Callithrix jacchus: one gene and its partner. The protein of the gene in region 2 purifies or fractionates together with the protein of the main gene of each other region. This does not show direct contact. Links are inferred from orthologs where the notes say so. Each region holds a gene or a part of one and is shown on either strand. Other genes may lie near its edges.

What was found. Proteins that work in one complex are often made in the same cells at the same time.
Region 1: the proteins of OCIAD1 (region 2) and SLC6A8 purify together in Homo sapiens (co-immunoprecipitation; 3 studies listed by BioGRID and IntAct, with this or other methods). This does not show direct contact. The link is inferred for Callithrix jacchus from reciprocal best matches to the Homo sapiens genes OCIAD1 and SLC6A8.

Annotation. Positions count from the first base shown.
Region 1 is NC_133524.1:149,611,975-149,614,788, forward strand, and holds the end of SLC6A8 (sodium- and chloride-dependent creatine transporter 1), read left to right. Parts: coding exon 1-13; intron 14-89; coding exon 90-192; intron 193-278; coding exon 279-379; intron 380-456; coding exon 457-627; intron 628-810; coding exon 811-951; 3' UTR 952-982; exon of another isoform or gene 983-1,989; 3' UTR 1,990-2,312; downstream 2,313-2,814. UniProt on the Homo sapiens protein: Creatine:sodium symporter which mediates the uptake of creatine. Plays an important role in supplying creatine to the brain via the blood-brain barrier.
Region 2 is NC_133504.1:144,982,363-144,986,114, reverse strand, and holds the start of OCIAD1 (OCIA domain-containing protein 1), read left to right. Parts: upstream 1-1,336; 5' UTR 1,337-1,736; coding exon 1,737-1,743; intron 1,744-2,860; coding exon 2,861-2,923; intron 2,924-3,636; coding exon 3,637-3,717; intron 3,718-3,752. UniProt on the Homo sapiens protein: Maintains stem cell potency. Increases STAT3 phosphorylation and controls ERK phosphorylation. May act as a scaffold, increasing STAT3 recruitment onto endosomes. Involved in integrin-mediated cancer cell adhesion and colony formation in ovarian cancer.

The DNA of each region.
Region 1 (2,814 bases), on a different chromosome or scaffold from region 2:
CATGGTGACTGATGTGAGTGGGGTGGGGGGTCTCCCTGTAGCCTCCGGTGACCGTCTGCCATCTTCCCTCACTGGACTCTGTCCCCCAGGGCGGGATGTACGTCTTCCAGCTGTTTGACTACTACTCGGCCAGTGGCACCACCCTGCTCTGGCAGGCCTTTTGGGAGTGCGTGGTGGTGGCCTGGGTGTACGGTAGGTCATGGCTGAGGGCTGGGCTGGGGGACAGTTGGGGGGCAGGCAGGTCTCCAGCTGGGCCCTCCCGCCTCACCTCGCCGCAGGAGCTGACCGCTTCATGGACGACATTGCCTGTATGATCGGGTACCGACCTTGCCCCTGGATGAAATGGTGCTGGTCCTTCTTCACCCCACTGGTCTGCATGGTAAGGGCTGGGGGAGGTGGAGTCGGGGAGGTGGGGCAGGGTGGGGGCCCCACTAACCATGGCATTCTGGTTCGTAGGGCATCTTCATCTTCAATGTCGTGTACTACGAGCCACTGGTATACAATAACACTTATGTGTACCCGTGGTGGGGCGAGGCCATGGGCTGGGCCTTCGCGCTCTCCTCCATGCTGTGTGTGCCGCTGCACCTCCTGGGCTGCCTCCTCAGGGCCAAGGGCACCATGGCCGAGGTAAGGCCCCTGCCCAGCCCACCCTCCCCTCCCCTGCTGTGAACATTCAACCCAGCCTGCTTCCTAGCCAGGGAGTAGCCCCAACTGGGCTGGCAGGCAGTGGGAACTGGAGAAAGGCAGAAGTGGTCACCTGGGGACAAGCAGGTGTGACCCGGGGCTACAGCATGTCCTCCTCTCCTGCAGCGCTGGCAGCACCTGACCCAGCCCATCTGGGGCCTCCACCATTTGGAGTACCGAGCTCAGGACGCGGACGTCAGGGGCCTGACCACCCTGACCCCAGTGTCTGAGAGCAGCAAGGTCGTCGTGGTGGAGAGTGTCATGTGACAGTCCAGCTCACATCACCAGCTCACCTCTGGTAGCCATAGCAGCCCCTGCTTCAGCCCTACCCCATCCCTCCAGGGGGCCTGCCTTTCCCTGACACTTTTGGGGTCTGCCTGGGGGAGGAGGGGAGAAAGCACCATGAGTGCTCACTAAAATAACTTTTTCCATTTTTAATAAAATGCCAAAAATATCACAACCCACCAAAAATAGATGCCTCTCCCCCTCCAGCCCTAGCCAAGCTAGTCCCAGGCCCTCCCTAGCACCCCACCCCCGACCCGCAGTGCTGTCCTCCTCCTGTCCCTGCCATGCCCACCCCTGCCCACCTCTCCAGCCTCGGCTCTGCAGCACACCCTTGGGTGACTCCTCACCCCAGAAACAGCAGTGGCAGCTTGGGAAATGTGAGGAAGGGAAGGAGGGAGAGGCGGGAGGGAGGAGAGAGAGAAGAGAGGCAAGGGAGGGGCAGCAGAGCTAAGGCAAATACTTCAGCTGGGCTACACCCTCTCCCCCCATCCATTACAGAAGCTTAGAGAGCCAGCCAGCAATGGAACCTTCTGGTTCCTGCGCCAGTCGCCACCAATCTGTGTGAGCTTGGGTGCGAGTGCACGCGTGCGTGAGTATGTAGCGTAGATAGAGATCTCTGTCTCTCAGCAAAGCTGAATACCAGATGTAAATGTTGCCTCTGGGCAAAGGAGGCTTGTATTTTGCACATTTTATAAAAACTTGAGAGAGTGAGATTTCTGCTTGTGTATTTCTAAAAAGAGAAAGGAGCCCAAACCATCCTCTCCTTGCCATTCCCATCCCTATAAGCCCTACCTTGCCCCTCTACCCCTAGCCAAGGAGTGTGAATCTATAGATCTAACTTTCATAGGCAAAACAAAAGCTTCCAACTGTTGTGTGTGTGTCTATTGTGTGGATGTGCGTGTGTGGTCCCCAGCCCCAGACTGGATTGGAAAAGTCTGTGGTGGGGGCCTCAGGGCTGTCCCCACGCTGTCCCTTTGCCTACAAGTCTGTGGGGCAAGAGGCTGCAATACTCCGTCCTAGGTGTCTGGCCTGCTCAGTCTTCCCACCCTGTGCCCTGGGCTGGGCAGACCCCCAGGAAGGGACCCCGGGCACAGCTTCCACCTCCAGGCTTAAGGCGGATATACTTCCTGCACCTCCAGTCTTCCGTGTGGCAGCTTTCACCCGCGTATGTCTGTGTCACACCCAGTCCCGAGACAGCTGAGTGACCCTGAGAAAGGCTTCTCCCACACCCGGACAGAGGCTGGAGGGCTGGGGCTGGGTGAGGGTGGCAGGCCTGCAGGGACATTCTTACTGTGCTAAAAAGTCACTGCAAACATAGCAATAAAAACATGTCATTTTCCAAAGCGGGCTCCTGCTTCCGCCTCTGCTGCTCTAAGAAGGGGTTGGGGTGCAGGAGGTAGGGGAACCTCCTCCAGCTGGAGCTGCTGCAGCAGGCAAGGCTCTGCTCTGGGGGCCTCTGCAGCCCAGGTCAGCCGTCTTCTGGGGACTGGGAAGGCAGCAGCCCAGGGAAAGCCTCGTCCCCTGGAGCGGAGGCACTTGGGGAGAGCAGGACGAGAGTGAGCTGGAGAGCAGCCACACCAGCAGGAAAACCATGGGTGCTGAAATTTTCAAATTGTTGCCCCAAGAATTTGTCACTGAACAGGTGGCCTTCCAAGATCCGAAACAGGTGATGGGGCAGGCCCGGGCCAGGCAGGTAGCAGCGGAGGAGTAAGTCTGCCTCAGGATCAATTTTGAAGGTGCAGCCAATAGGGGTTGTGCGTGACCAGGATGCAGGGCTGGAAGAGGAGTTAAGGATGACAGACTTGGCCTGAGCAAGAGGAAAGATGGAGCTGCCAGGCCCTGCAA
Region 2 (3,752 bases):
GTATTAGTTACCAATACTGATTACCTCAGGGATTTATTTGGTTCGATAAAGACTTACAAGCCAAGGTCTCTGTCCTAAAGGAGCTCTGTAAGAGAGACAGACATAAGTAAGAAAGATCATAATGCAGTGCAGAAGTACACTGCAGTGACAGCAGTATGGACAAGCTAAGGACTAAGAAGGAAGACTGAGTAATTCTCTGGGGTGTGTTTCAGGGTAGGTATCACAAAGATGGTGATGTAAAAGCAGAATTTTGAAATATCAATAGAATTGACAAAGCAGGAAATAGAGTTGTGCTGAGGGACCAATGCACAGAGCACACTGAGGGCAAAGACCTCCAGCTGGTTCTTATTAGTGAACACTGCAAGAGAAGAAAGTGATGCTCAAAAGGCAGAGGCCAAGCCATCATGGGCCTTATATTCTGTGCATGACTGAAGTTATCAAAAGACTCTAAGGAAGGCAACTCGGGATTGGACTTGTTTTACATGACCATCTCTCTTAATTATGTCTGCGGGAGAGTAAATGTGAAATGATAAAATGGCAAAGGGACTCAGAAAGAGATGAGAAACCTGAGAGGCTTTTAGGGTTGATAAAATGAGTAGGACTTGGATTGCCCACTGTTTAGTAACTAATAACTTCCAGTCCCTGGTACTAATAAATACTTGAGGAAGGAATGGATGAAAATGAGTAGTGATTGGCTGGGTGTGGCAGCACCATGTCCCATAAGCGGAAGTCATGAGCCCCGTATTAACAGACATTGAGCGCTTAAAACCTTTAGATGTGTTGTTTTAATTCTAATAAACTTATATGCATTTCCACTTTTCAGATGAGAAAATTCTTAGGCTCAGAGAGACTACGGTACCCTGACAGCGGTTCTAGAACTCTTAGAAACTTGGCTCGAGGATATGACAGATAACCAGGTACGTATGCTTAAAAATTACTTTCCACTACTTAGCTTACAGGGTCAAAGAATGAAATTATCTCATTTATGATAAAATGTATAAAGTCGCTAACTCTCCAAAAAGGGACAACATAGGGTTCCAGAATGTTCCCGCCAGCCTGTCAAGGGAAGCCCAGAGAGGTGAGTCACAATAGCCCAAGACAAGCTTACCCTCAACCCTCCCCGTCACCCAGGGAGGGCGCGGGCGGGGTTCTTGGTCCGCCGCTGTCGCCTGCGCAGTCGCAGTGCGGCTCTTGAGCGCCGCGGCCTGAAAGAGAAGGGAGGAGAGACGAGTATACGCATGCGTCCATCCTGGGCCGCTAGCTCTTAAACCTCTCAGGGAGTTCTGACGTCATTTCCTGCCGTAGGTAGCCACTGTCTCCGGGTCGCGGTCATTTAGATCCCCAGTCTGGGTGACTTCTTGCGGCTGTACGCCCCCTCCCCCTCCCCGCGGTACCTTGCACTTTTCTCCTTCCCTGCCCCTCCCTAGTCCCTTTCGAGCCTTCTGCCCCTGATCGCTTGGCCTTGCTTCGCAGTCGTCTGCTGCTGTAGACAGGAGGTGGGTGAGGTGATGCACACAGCCCCGTAGTTGCCCTCCGCGTATGCCTTCACCACCTCTGTGGCCATCCGCGACTTTCGCACCTTCCGCCATTTTCCTGCCTGTGAGGGTGGATAGATCGCGCTCGGGTCTCGGCCTCCTTGGTGTCGGTGACTGCTGAGGCGACGGATTGCTTCTGGGGGTGTGAGCTGGGGAAGTTCGTGGTCACGGAATGCCTGTGGGGTTGTTGATCAGTCAGTAATGGCAGGTGGGAGATGGACACAGGGAGTGGAGGATGGAGTGCGGGAATCAGCGGTTGTAGGCCGCTGGGGCTTCAATCCTTCTTTCTTTTTTATTAAGTGCTTAAAATGGTATTGTCTCCAGGGCCTTGTCTGCCCTGACAGTTTTTGTGGTGTTTCTGGGAAGGATGCTGTTGTGAGAAATAAGAGAGTTTCATTTTTTTCGAATGCGGTTGTAGGGTAGAAGTATATTATTCAGCAGGCTCCATCCATCCATGAATTCGGCTTACCCTTTTTATTCCTTTTCTGGATCTAAGGGATTGGCATGTAGTAGGCCCTCATGGCTTACTGACTAAATGAATTAATTGTGTATGCCATTTCCTGTTTCCATGCAAATTGTTATTAAAATAAGAAAAATAATGATCCCGCGTAAATATTCTGTAAAATACAGTTACTTGATCTGTTGGTCTAAGTCCCAATATATGAGTTTTTTTTTTTTTTTTTAAAGAACCAAATAAAATTTACGTTCTTGGAATTTTATGCCTTTTTTATAATATATACTTGGGGAGGAAGGAAATTTGGAGATACGGAATTTGTTGTTAGCTTTACATCACAGGGTGAAGGATATGACGTCTTTGTTATTCTGTAGTTTTGGAGTCCTCTTTTGTGGGAAAGGTTGAATGTTTCTGATGATTATTTTGTTTTTTAATATGGAAACTCAAAAATGACTTGAGATTTTTTTCTCTTCTGTTTTGGGGAATTATCCTAATCATTGGGCATAGATTTGCAAAACAACCAAAACGTAAGATAATATGAAACAAACAGTTTCAGGAGGAAAAGATATGTATATTATTTTATTGCTATCTTTTTATGTCTTGATATTAATAAAAAACAGTATAAACTTATAAAACGCTTATGCTTTTTCAATTAAGGAACGTAACCTGAATAGTGAGTCAAATTAATAGGTCTGTTACTTTTTCATCTAGCTATTTTTATGTGAAGTATCTAAGATACTGTGGTGTGTAGTAAATGCTTGTTGATTGATTGCTATGTAGACTAGTAGTTTTACTATAGCCTACATCTTAATTTACTTTGACCTAACTAGTGATGGTTTCTAATACTTAATATGTGATGTTTTTGATACAGGAAAGATGAATGGGAGGGCTGATTTTCAAGAGCCGAGTGCAGAAGTTCCAAGACCAATTACCCGTAACTATCTATTAAGTATTTATAATTAGAAGCGCTTTCTATGCAAAGGAAATTTCACTGGTTTGAGTAACAGTGGCAGGTGGGCTGGCTTCATGAGCATGTGCAGACAGGCCCCTGTACTTGATTTCATGTTTCTACTCTTGAAATTCTGAATAATTTGGACAAGGAGTTCCACGATTTTTTGTTTTGTTTTGTTTTTGCAGTGGGCCCAGCACATTACGTTGTCAGTCCTTGATGAGCAGATAGTAGCATTAACTTCTGTTTGAAGTCAAAGTTTGTTAAAAGTGTGTAAATGGCTGGGCGCGCTGGCTCATGTAATCCCAGCACTTTGGGAGGCAGAGATGGGTGGATCACCTGAGGTCAGGAGTTAGAGACCAGTCTGGGCAACATGGTGAAACCCCATCTCTACTAAAAATAAAAAAATTATCCTGGCATGGTGATGGGTGCCTACAGTCCCAGCTACTCGGGAGGCTGAAGCAGATCACTCGAACCCGGGAGGCGGAGGTTGCAGTGAGAGGAGATTGCGCCATTGCACTCTAGCCTGGGCAACAACGGTGAAACTCTGTCTCAAATAAAAAAATGTATAAGCCAGTTGTTTTATATTTTGAGTTAAAAAAAAAAAGTGTCTCTTGTTAATATTTAGGCTAATATAATTTTTCAGACTTACTTTTATTATGGGTAATTTAATGTTTTTTTATTTTCCTTGTAAAAAGACATAGGGCCTGATTACATTCCAACAGAGGAAGAAAGGAGACTCTTCGCAGAATGCAGTGATGAAAGCTTCTGGTTCAGATGTGAGTTCAATTTTCTAATTAATGTAATTTGATCC